Linked DNA regions of Drosophila melanogaster. The protein of the gene in region 1 purifies or fractionates together with the protein of each later gene. This does not show direct contact. Each region holds a gene or a part of one and is shown in the gene's direction. Other genes may lie near its edges. The genes, in order: Apc and dia.

The links.
Region 2: the proteins of Apc (region 1) and dia purify together in Drosophila melanogaster (affinity purification with western blotting, with the first as the bait; 2 studies listed by BioGRID). This does not show direct contact.

The regions. Positions count from the first base shown.
Region 1 is NT_033777.3:28,841,594-28,846,405, reverse strand, and holds the start of Apc (APC-like), read left to right. Parts: upstream 1-1,657; 5' UTR 1,658-1,846; intron 1,847-4,122; exon of another isoform or gene 4,123-4,187; intron 4,188-4,812. Other genes in the region: spg (sponge), read right to left, coding at 406-439.
Region 2 is NT_033779.5:20,758,231-20,766,430, forward strand, and holds the start of dia (diaphanous), read left to right. Parts: upstream 1-2,069; 5' UTR 2,070-2,207; coding exon 2,208-2,227; intron 2,228-2,294; coding exon 2,295-2,611; coding exon of another isoform or gene 2,612-2,667; exon of another isoform or gene 2,668-3,911; intron 3,912-5,266; coding exon 5,267-7,222; intron 7,223-7,279; coding exon 7,280-7,810; intron 7,811-7,887; coding exon 7,888-8,200. UniProt on the Drosophila melanogaster protein: Required for cytokinesis in both mitosis and meiosis. Has a role in actin cytoskeleton organization and is essential for many, if not all, actin-mediated events involving membrane invagination.

The DNA.
Region 1 (4,812 bases):
TTGGCAACGCGACAGCCGAGCGCTGTGCGGGAAAACTGAGCGCGCGGAAAACTGTGTGTATAAACACATCAAATCGCAGCGCAGCGGCAGCAACAACAAACAGGGAAATCTCTTTGAGATACACTACACGCTGCATGGAAAGGGGGGGGGGGCGGTGCGGTGAACTGGGGGATGATGATGCTACAAACAGTTTGTGTACAAAAATAAGTAGAAAAGTCGCTTTTCCTCCCCGCTCGGTAACGTGCGGGGGTGGTTGGCATGGTATCCGGCGTTTCGCGGAAAAACGCGTGAATCGCCGCAAAAGGCAGCAATAAAAACAAAGGCCGCGCACGTGACGCCCAGCGGGGGGTGGTGGGTAGCTTGGAAAAGTGGGTGGCACACCGCCTACTCTTATTATTTACTCACCAACTCCGTATTTGTTGTTCGAAGGTATCCACATTTTGTCGCTGCTGCTTCGCTGCAAGTTAAGCCGAAAAAATCCAACTTAGCCGGCCACTCCTTGCATTTATAATTAATCAACGGTTTTTTGAGGAAACACCCTTTTCATCGGCAAATATCTGCATTTGAATTCGCATTTATAACGGCCAATATTTATCAACAATTTTTCGCAATAGCACACATACACACTCGTACACATCTACGCACTCAATAAAACTTTCGCTTTTGTTGTTGTCTATCTCCTTCTCTTTCTCGCACTTTATCTTGTTTAATAACTACAACTACAAGCAGAAAATACACTTGCTACATTGTTGTTGTCGCTGGAAGGCAACGATCGCGGTTCCAATTGGCAATGATTACCGCTAGGTGGAAGAAAAGGAAGTGGCTGATTGGGAAGTCTGGAAGTGGTGGCTTTGCTTTTGTTGCCTTTTTCACGGACCCGCGCACACACAAACAAGAAAATCAATACGAATTTGGGACTCCCAGCCGAACTTCCAATTGGATTTCTACACTGTGCGCAATTTAAATTGCTTGTCCCTTGGCTTCGCGAATTATTACCGTTGTTTTCTGCTGCACTTGCAACGCGTTTAATTTTCGCTATTTTTTGCGTTTTATTATTTTTCGCGTTCTCCGCTGCGCAGCTTCCCGGGCGCAGCAACAACAAATATCCGTCCGCCGCTCAGCTGTTTGAAGAACAACAACAAAATTCGGGATTCGTCGGCTTATATACGTTGCAGTGTGGCCAGTTGCTAAGCGATGGATTATTTACTATTGCATTTTTGAGGGAATTTTCATTTTAGCGGTGACGGTCACACCGGTATTTATGGTCTAGCTAAGACCCGAACCAATTCGCAGTTACAGTTTTGGAGGCACATTCATTCAATGTATTCAATAATTTAACAAACAAAACAATACCAAATCCGTTTTAATATGCAGTCCATAGCGTTGGTCTGACTCGGCCCCATTAACTCTATCCCATTTTTTTTTAAATTTTTTCTTTTAAATTAACGGTGTACGTATTACTTAACCGAGATATATAATGAATAAAATATAAGCACTAAATCTTTAAGGTTAGAAAATAAATTGCAGTATAAATATATTACGAACGAAGTAAATATTCAAGCGATATATATGATCCCAAGATATCGCTACATTCTCCCATCCCTAGCAGCTATTTCTTGTTGGTTTTTCGAATTCTCGATATAACAGTCACACTGCTCGCCGCGGTTGGTCGCAATTTTTGTTGATAAGCGGACTCGGAATTTCGGCCGCGCTGCGTATTTGTTTTGTCGCGAAACAAGCCAAGAATCCAAATAGTGGCAATATCTGTGGGCAAACAAGTGATAAAGCGGGAAATGTGTCATCTGGTGGGCGAGGAAGCTGCCGAGAAATTGTGTTTTTAGTCAAGGTACGCCAATCGGAGAATCTCTGGGTTCGTGTGTGTGTGGGAGTATAGTCGCTGACTCTTCCAATTGGAATTGTTCTTTTTGGGCCTGACAATAAAACGCAGAATGTTTACTCAATAAATGCGCACCATATACAGCTGGCGAATACAAATGTGTTTAGCTCAACTTGGAGCATGAGATACTCTTTAGTAGTTTCCTGTTCTCCTGCCGATTCCTTTTACAGGAAAAATCAATAAAGGTCCCAATCAGAACGCGACTGCGCCCTAGTGTGGGTGTGCAAAGTGCGTGCATGTGTGTGTCTATGTGTGTGAGTGCTCCTTTATCAGTTGGAAAACGCAGTGTGTTTCGTTTGTTTCGTTGTTGTTGTTTTCGTTTTAGTTTTCCAACAGCTGCAAGTGATTGTGGCACGCCTAATTGATAACTATTTTCGAGCACTTCCATTCAACTTCACCTCAGCATAATTAATCACCGCATTAAGGAAAATACGTTAATATCGGCACGCTCGATTGTCTTACATGCCCACAAACATGGGAGAAAAGGAAAACACAATTCCACACTGCATGCGCTCGTATTTAGTTTCCCTTTTACTTTTCTACAATTTACATAATCATCATCTCGCGGCGGCAAAGACACAAAACAACCGGGCAGCAAAACAAAAGTGGCGTTCATTAAACCAGCTCATAAATGCACACACAGAAATCATAAGTACATACATATGTACATATGTACAGTAGTTAGTATGTAGTTTCATTATTTAATGTTTTTGCGTACATTTCCCTGTGGTTTGATGGCTCGCGGTGTCATCATCTTTACCGCTTTTCCTTCCCCCGCAAATCTTCCATTCTTTTTTCTTTGATAATTCTGCCGCGAATATTTCGTATGCAAAATGTGTGCCAAGCCAAAAAACCGCACAGTGGGTGGGATGGGGCGATGTGGTGGCAAAATTGGTTATTAGCTTAATGGGAATTCACTTATTGGAGAAATATTTTTTATTTTTGCTATTCCCTTCTAATTGTAATTGTAATTGTACCATTTTTAGGGGAGGGTGTGACGAAAACCACCCTTCAGATCATCAATCTGCCAAAAAAAATATTTCCCTCTTTCAAATATTTCAACCTAGTATTCATTTTATCACAACAAATTACACTTTCCAAATTAGGTATTCATATGTCGGTTTAAAATAACTTTTAAGACCTTACCCTCTATAAGGTGATGAAGCTTTATCTTTCAAAATCCAAATCTGATCCACCCATGCTACACAAATGCTTAATTTATATGCATATTACCAAAAATGGAATTGTTCATTCTCATAATTCATTTAATTATGCAAATATTTGGATATACAATTATCAAATAAACACTTTTATTTATTCTTTTACACCTATCAGTTTAAGTAAGTGCTTAGTAAGTCTTACTAAGCAAGTGTTATTCAAGCAATAAGTCACATTTGTTTTTGAAATCTCGTTATCTCTGAAAGAAATAGAAACTGGGTGACTAAAAGTTTGTCAGTCTGATTCACTTTCTATCCGCTAAACTATGGCACTTGTATTTTATTTCAAAGCGTGGGGTTGTTTCTGTTTTCGCTAACTATGCGAACCAATTTAGTTTCCCAATACAGTTGACTCGAAACGCTTGGAGTCGAATTGTGTCCATTGTGCAGGGCTGATTCCCTTGTGCGACTCGCTGGCCGGTTAATGACACGAGGAGTCGTCTCTGGGGGACCGGGTACACGGCTCTTGGCTAGACAAGTGACGCATATTCTCGCATTCTTTGGGGTACTAAAAGTATCTATGTCGTATCTAGATACTTGTGTTTGTCTAATTCGCGGATCGTTGATTCATCGAATCGCTCTACTCTGCTCTGTTCGTCTTTCGAATTCTTGGCCTCGAGAGCACTGATATCGTGACTCTTGCTAAATGTTAATCGGTGGAGCCGAACTGTGTGCCTTATCAAGGCGGTGATAGTGCCGGCTGATCACATATTTTATATATTTGAGGCCTAGGCAAACAATCGATCGGCAATGATGAACGATGGCCACTGTGTCCAGTGCGGCATTCCAATCGAGTGGCTTGGATGGATGGATGCATTTCCGCTGTTACACAAGCGATTTGCATTTCACAGCCACTCAAATTGCGGTTACCACTTTTCGTTCGCCGGCTGTTTTCGCTCTTTACGCTGGTCGCAATTAAAATTTGATTAATTTGCCAATTGGAGCTTGAACAAGTCGACTTGTGCGGAGCCAGAACTGGTACACGACCCGGGTCATTCCCAATCCCAAACTCAATCCACTTGAAGTCTTGAATTGGATTGGGTACACAGTGAAAAAATGCTTGAAAATACAAGGTATCAAATCATTTGTTATATTCCTTTTCATTCGATATCTAAAATTATGCAGTAAATAAATTGTGCCATACTTTAAGACACTTTGTAGATTGATTTAAGAACCCCAAGGATTTATTTGACCCTTGATTAAAGTTGTGTAAATAACTTAATAGTGACCTTACGTTAGTTACGTTATTTTCTCTCTGTGTACATACATATTTATGCACTTCTGTCCGTCCACGCTCAATTTTACGCTACAATAACAGCTGAAAAAAAAGAAGTGCAGCACCAAATTGCATTTGCACATAATTCAACGGTAGCTCAAATGAGAAATATGTCTTGTGCTTATGGAGTGTGTGTAGCAACAACAATGAGAGCCGAGGCAATATAATATATCTGCTGAAAACGCATCTGTATCTTTCTTCATGCACTGGAAATTCCGCAAAGACGACGCCGTGTGCCGCTAACTTTCTAAAAAGATGCAGCGCCAGCTAATCATGATAATGACTTAGCTGCTCATTTGCTATTGTGGCTGCCGCCACCTGAATGTTGGCCGATGATTAAGTTACAGAGCGATAGAGCAGGCAATGCACAGAACCTGCCACAATAGGCGAATTCTTCTGGGATACAACAGCATCCAAGCATC
Region 2 (8,200 bases), on another chromosome or scaffold:
AAGAGCCAGCGATCTGCATGCCAAGTGTCCAATAACTAGGCAGAACAGTGTTTGCGTTGCACAAAAGCCCGCTAGCGGAGTGTGTTCCATGTGTCATTCCCGGCAAAGGAGCAACAAGTGGCCGAAAGTGGAAAGCAAGAGCAACAACTAAATAAGTAAGGAGTACCACACTGCAAGAAAAAGTGTTCGGAGGGAACGGTGTGCACAGCTTGTCAGCTTGTTTTTTGTACAGAGCGTCGCGCAATAAAACAAACAAAAAGACATAGTCCAAAAACAACAACCACAACAAAAGCCGTTTGATCGCGAGTTTGTGTGCGTGTGCGAGTGTGGCTCTATTTGTGTGAGAGTGGCAAGCCATTATTTTTCTGGTCTTATGACGTAAACCACCGAAAAAAATCAAAAGTGAGCAGGCGACACAGATATCAAAACGAAGGTGAGCGCATTCTTACCAATTCTCGTTTCGTTTCTTGGAATTCCAGCGGTTATTAGACGGTTTTATACTTGTTTACATTTTCGCAGTTGCAGCACACAACTAATGCCAGAGCGGGAGCGAGAAAGACATATGTAGATCGTTCTGTGGAAGGAGTGTTGGTCGCGGAGGGTTGTGTTGTGATGTTGTGGAGGGGAGGGAAAGAGATGCAGTGCATGTAAACAAAATAGAGAAAGAGGCAATTGCAGTAAATTCTTTGGCAAAAGAAATCTTGTTGAAAGCATTTCCTCCGCAGATGCTTATGTGTACTGGCGACCTGAAAAGAAATTGTTGCCCTGCTTGAACTTGTCGCTCCACTCTCCACTACCCACCTCCTCGCCCCCTCCCTCGCACACTCCTCTGCCCACACACACACACACACACAACACTCCATTCACAATTGGCCTTTTGCGGAGTCATATATTAAATTTGATTTCTCTAGCCGAGCACTGTGAATGATTTGCCGCCAGTTGGCACGCCCGTTCGCCACACTGCAGAAAATACCAGGGCACATATATATCTATATCTATATATCTATTAAATTTATCCTTGCATGCCAAATATTGAAACGCAGCACTTTATAGCTCTCTTAGCTTAAAATGTAAATTTTACTCAATTTAAGAGCACTAATAACGAACGTTTATTTCATTTCCTAATCAAATCTTACAGTTTAAGTACTTTGTTTTCCGTGTAGCGAGCCAGAACCATCCGCAAAACCTGTTGCTCGTTTGCCTTTTTATTGGATTTTCTGTTTTCTACCTCTGCTGCTCAGCTGCTGCGATTCCGATTTCATTAGTGATTCATTAGATGCGTTGGACAAGCTAACGCAAAAAGCCAAAGCTTGTTCCCAACGCATCCTTCAATACAAGGCAATTCAAATGTTCAAACGCTAACGGCCAGCCTCTCAGCCTGGTCAAATGAATCACTCCATATTCTCCACATATTCTAACCAATTTCTCTCGTGTTTTGTTTGGCTCTCAGTTTTGCGCTGTGAATAACGTGCTATTTCCTATTTTGGCTGGCCGCGATTATCGCATCGTTTTGTAAATTTAGTGCGCATTATTAATGAATTTGTCCAATTTGCTGCGGTATACTTTTATCGTTTTTGTTTATAATTATAATCAGTCGTTTTCACGCGGTGAGAGTTTTGGATAGCACAGTGGTCGGATTCTAATTTGGAAAATGGTTAAGCTTGAGAGTGTTTTAATCTGTAATATAAACTTATTGTACAAACCTAATTATAAATTGATCATTTTTGAGCTTACCAGTAATATTCACACAGTATTAAAATTATAATTCCTATTAGATTTCCACCCTTAAAAAATTTTAAATGAAAGCCAACTCTCATGTGTTAATGTTCTTAAGCATGTAAAAGGAAAACAGCACCCTTTCCAAGTCGAAGAACCACTGTAATGGGCCTCGTTCCCTCAAAATACGTACATATGTACGTGTTAATTGAAAATTCCACACTCCGTTGAGGCTGAATCGACATTACGGCACCCCAGATAATTGTAAATAAACCCAAGCTGATAATGATCGACCACCTCCCAGCCATCCGTCCATCGATTGGATGCATTCGCTGGGAAGCCATCAGAAACCGCGGTCTGTGCGCTGCTCTCGAACACTTGTAAACAAGGAACAGCTGTGCAAGTTGTCTCCCCCAAAATATTGAAGACTGCGCAGGCCCCAAAAATCGTTGTTTGGTCTTTGTTTAGTTTTCGCCTAGCTATCCAACGAAATGCGCCTCAAAAAGCTGGGGTTAGACTTGAAATCTTTTGCATAGTTTATGAAATCGAACCCAATATTTCTGTTCTGTTCTTTGCAGAATGTCTCGTCACGAGAAAACGAAATCCACGGGCGGCGGGCTCCTGGACAGTCTGTTCGGAAGACCCTCGAAGTCCAAGGGAGGAACCATCAGCAGTGGCACCCTGGCCCATGGCGGACGACCCGTGTCCGCGGACAACTATGTGGTGCCGGGCGTGGAGGACTTTGAGCAGTACATCCAGCAGCTAAGCGTTGCGGAGCTGGATGCGAAGTTTCTGGAGATCATCGAGGACATGAACATTCCGAAGGACAAGAGGGAGCCCCTGTTGGCCAAATCGAAGGAGGAGCGACAGAAGATGATTATGTGGCACTTGAAAGGTAAAGAACATGGTGCAAGTACACGTTTTCAAACAGAAAACCGCATTTGTGTTTGAAGATTGAGTATCGTTTGGCTAAGAACTATAGTTCTGGAATAGAAAGTCTAAGAATAATCTACATACATATACGAATAATCTAAACTCGTCTGAACCGTAATGTTCCAAGCAACTTTGAAAGGCCAACCGGATTGGCAAAACTTTAACACCCTTTCCCTTTGCAAGGGTATACAAACAGCAGACCATCGATTTTCGTGCAACTGGGTGACTCTGCCTTCTACTTTTTTTTTTTGCTTTTGTTGTGCTGCGGAATATTGCATTCCACTTGTGATAAGATAAGCAGGTAACGGAACTCGTGTCCGTGTGCTTTCCCCGTTTCGCTGTGTGCGTGACACTGCAAATTTCGCTTTCTGATTGCTTAGCGCCTTCTTAGCTGCCAATTTGCTCTGTGGCCAGGTTCTGTTCTATATTTCTGGCCAATTCCTAAACCGATTGAAGTGATGTCAACGATCCTTTGGATAAGTAAGCTCATAACATACATAAGTCTCTAAATGGTTTCCACTTCAATTAGTCAAGAGGTGATTACTTTGTTTGTTAACTACATATACTTGCTTAACTCTACTTCAATTTTGAGAATACTTTATTTCTAGAATTATTATAACGATATTATGTGCATCGCAGCGCGGTAATGATTCAGCTGGAATCTTCCCTTGTGTTTGCTTCATTCATATCCAGCGAGATTAGTACGGTGTACTCTACTGTACTACAGTGATACTACCAATTATCACTGTAGCACATCGCCAGCTGTATCTTGAGCACATTTCAATGCCAGCTCAGCTTTCAGCTTCAGCTTCGTTCTTTGGGTCTCGCTCCAGTTAGTTCACCATGGCCATGGTCCATTATCAGTCTTGCGGAGTGTGGAATCAAAGTTCCCTTATCGTTTGTAACGCCTAATTGCGCCACAGCCGCGGACTATCTGCTTGCCCATTTTATCAAGTAATACCAAGTGCTATATTATACATAGTATGTATGTAAGTGGTACGCGGCGAATGCGTGACAAAGTCGAGCGGCAAAAAATGAAAATGCAAAGACATTGAATTTCCACCACCGTGCACATTATACAATTTAAATTACGTCAAGTGGCAGTGAGAAAATGAAATGATTCTTTTATTTCGCGCTTAGGTCTTTTTGTTGTATAAGCAAGTGCATCGTGAAGGCGAGAGAGAGATGTACTATGTACACTGAAAGTATTTTTACTAAACATCATATATAAATATAGCTAATGATTATAACCTACTATTTATAAATCTCAATGGCCTTGTTATTGAATATAAATTTAATATTTCAAATTTTAATTCAAATTTCCTGTACCGACGAGGCTTAGTTCTCAGTGTAGCAGAGGCAGAGGGTGATTTTCCTTACACTTTGGAACGGCCATAAAATGCAAATATGCGAAAACATTAAACACATTATGACAAAATCGAGCTGAAAATAAATTGTGATGCCTGTCAGTAAACTTGAGCTGCGGCACAATCGTATCTCATAGGTGCAGATAGCTGCGAGTGAGAGGTAAAAGCGACTGAAGTAAGTATTTGTGGGTCGTGTTTATTGTGGCAGAACCCACTTGTTGCGAAATTAAATTTAAAACACAAACAATGGACTGGCCGACAACAAAAAAGGCTCGCACAAAAAGCTGTTCATTAACACGCTTCGCTTGCCGTTTTGAGTTAATTAATAAAACAGTTAGCGTAGTTTTGCTTTGACGGATAAACGTATAAGTGGTGGGCAGGTTTTGGCCAATTTGAGTGATGTCAGTGGTGCAGGTCAATCAGAAAAAGGGGTGGGTGGTCGCACCGAAGGCCTCCCTTCCAAAGGTGGGACATGATGATAGCCTTTTAACTACCCCTATCTCTCACAGTTTTAGGGCAAAGTTATCACATAAAGCTGTGCAGCAACTATTTAGAACCTCCAAAGTGTAATCATTGAGCCACCTATATAGAATATGTATCATCCTTTATCATGAAATTTACAAACTTCAAGTTGGAAAATCTGGAGTGATGGCAAATAAACTTAAAAACACATTTGCGTATTATAATGTGTTGATATGTGTATAATGTTACACCTTTGTTTAACATAACTTGTTAACGATTATATTCCAGATTAGAGCTTAAGTGGTAATTTCTCGTTAATTAAATGGTTTTCTTATCAAATTGCCATTGTACGTTTGTGGGAAAGTATTCCGATTTAGCAGACTAATGATAGGGTAGAGTGAATCATCGCTGATATGACTAAATTCAGGTGTGTTGTCGGTGGGAGGCAAACCTCTTTCTTTCAAAATATAAGCCTTGAGCTATTTTGGAATGAACCCGTATACTTTTTATCATCGAAACAGCACAAACGTGAGTTGAATGGCAAAATGTACTTTAATTTACTATTGTGCCAACTTTTAATTTATGTCAAAAGTGTAACAAATCAAAATGTCCAATATTAGCCATAATTATCAATTGCTTAAGTTACGAACTGATCGGATTAGATATTAATAGGTGTTTATAGAACCATATTCCTATGTCTACTATGTAAAATACCGCTGACCACTAAATAGCTTTACAGAAATTCAATACGTGCGCTCATCCGACTCCAACTCCAATTTCTCTTCCAGGTAAAAACTCACTGGAGCGTAGCGCCAACTCCCGCTTCGAGAAGCCCATAGACTATGTGGAATACCTGCAGAATGGGGAGCACAGCACGCACAAGGTGTACCAATGTGTGGAATCTCTGCGCGTGGCGCTCACCAGCAATCCGATCTCGTGGATCAAGGAGTTTGGAGTGGCGGGCATCGGGACGATTGAGAAGCTGCTGGCCCGGTCAAAGAATAATGCCAGCTACGAGAAGATCGAGTTCGAGGCGATTCGGTGCCTGAAGGCGATCATGAACAACACATGGGGTCTGAACGTGGTGCTCAATCCGGATCAGCATAGTGTGGTGCTGCTGCTGGCGCAATCCCTGGATCCCCGGAAGCCGCAGACGATGTGTGAAGCCCTCAAGCTGCTGGCCTCGTTCTGCATTGTCTATGAGCGGAATGGCTACGAGAAGGTTCTCCGAGCCATAACCACTATTGCAGCCACATCCTTTAAAGCGAGCGAGCGCTTTCGACCCATAGTGGATGCCTTGTTTGCATCGGATCAGCAGGATCCCAAACGGGACTTGGCATGCCACAGCCTGATTTTTATTAATACTCTCACCAATACCCCCACGGATTTGAACTTCCGCCTGCACTTGCGATGTGAGATTATGCGCATGGGTCTATACGATCGCCTAGATGAGTTCACCAAAATCGTGGAGGCCAGCAATAATGAGAACCTGCAGCAGCACTTCAAGATCTTCAACGAGATCCGCGAGGATGACTTCGAGGAGTTTGTGCAGCGCTTCGATAATGTCACCTTCAACATGGACGACGCCACCGATTGCTTCGATGTGCTGAAGAACCTGGTGACTGACACCACTTCCGAGCCCTACTTCCTGTCCATCCTGCAGCATTTGCTGTACATCAGGGATGACTTCTACTTCCGACCTGCCTATTATCAGCTGATTGAGGAGTGCATCTCACAAATCGTCTTCCACAAGGGTTACTGTGATCCGAATTTCGAGAACCGGAACTTTAATATAGACACCTCGCTACTGCTGGACGACATTGTGGAGAAGGCCAAGGCCAAGGAGTCGAAGCGGTCGGAGGAGTACGAGAAGAAGATCGAGCAGCTGGAGAGTGCCAAGCAAGAGGCGGAAGCGAAGGCGGCTCATCTGGAGGAGAAAGTCAAGTTGATGGAGGCTAATGGTGTGGCGGCTCCGTCGCCCAATAAGCTACCCAAGGTAAACATACCCATGCCACCGCCACCACCAGGAGGAGGAGGAGCACCTCCCCCACCGCCGCCACCTATGCCGGGACGAGCAGGTGGTGGACCTCCGCCTCCACCACCACCTCCCATGCCGGGAAGGGCAGGTGGACCGCCACCACCTCCTCCACCGCCCGGAATGGGAGGCCCACCGCCTCCACCCATGCCTGGCATGATGCGCCCAGGAGGGGGACCTCCACCACCGCCCATGATGATGGGGCCCATGGTTCCCGTTCTGCCTCATGGCTTAAAACCGAAGAAGAAGTGGGACGTCAAGAATCCCATGAAGCGGGCCAACTGGAAAGCCATTGTCCCGGCCAAAATGTCCGACAAGGCATTCTGGGTCAAGTGCCAGGAGGATAAGCTGGCCCAGGATGACTTCCTCGCAGAACTGGCCGTGAAATTCTCTTCTAAACCTGTAAAGAAAGAACAGAAGGATGCGGTGGACAAGCCAACGACGCTGACAAAGAAAAATGTCGATCTTCGTGTGCTCGACTCGAAGACTGCTCAGAACTTGGCTATTATGTTGGGAGGATCGCTGAAGCATCTGTCCTACGAACAGATCAAGATCTGCTTGCTGCGCTGCGACACCGACATCCTGTCCTCCAATATCCTGCAGCAACTTATCCAGTACCTTCCGCCGCCAGAGCACCTCAAGCGTTTGCAGGAGATCAAGGCAAAGGGCGAACCGCTACCGCCGATTGAACAGTTTGCAGCCACAATAGGTAAGGCGAATGGAGTTTGTAGTGCAGAAGGCGCAGAATAACTTTACTTAATTTCAGGGGAAATTAAACGCCTTTCGCCGCGACTTCACAACCTGAACTTCAAGCTGACCTACGCGGACATGGTGCAGGATATCAAACCCGACATTGTGGCAGGAACGGCAGCATGCGAAGAGATCCGGAATAGCAAAAAGTTCTCAAAGATCTTGGAGCTGATTCTGCTGCTTGGAAATTACATGAACTCGGGCTCCAAAAACGAGGCCGCCTTTGGCTTTGAGATCAGTTATTTAACCAAACTGTCCAATACGAAGGATGCGGATAATAAGCAGACATTGCTGCACTACCTGGCTGACCTGGTGGAAAAGAAATTCCCAGATGCACTAAACTTCTACGACGATCTGTCGCATGTTAATAAAGCGTCGCGGGTCAACATGGATGCCATCCAAAAGGCCATGCGGCAAATGAATTCGGCGGTTAAGAACCTGGAAACTGATCTCCAGAACAACAAGGTGCCGCAGTGTGATGATGACAAGTTTAGCGAGGTGATGGGCAAGTTTGCCGAGGAGTGCAGACAACAAGTGGACGTGCTGGGTAAGATTATCTCATCTGATCGGAACGAATATTACATGAGCAAAATCGAATTCTCTAACATCTCGTTTTAATTTCAGGCAAAATGCAGCTGCAAATGGAGAAGCTGTACAAGGACCTCAGCGAGTACTATGCCTTCGATCCCAGCAAATACACAATGGAGGAGTTCTTTGCGGACATCAAGACTTTCAAGGATGCCTTCCAAGCGGCCCACAACGACAATGTCCGGGTACGCGAGGAGCTGGAGAAGAAGCGTCGTCTGCAGGAGGCCCGAGAGCAGTCTGCTCGAGAGCAACAGGAGCGCCAACAGCGTAAGAAGGCAGTGGTTGACATGGATGCCCCGCAGACGCAGGAAGGCGTGATGGACAGTCTGTTGGAGGCGCTGCAAACGGG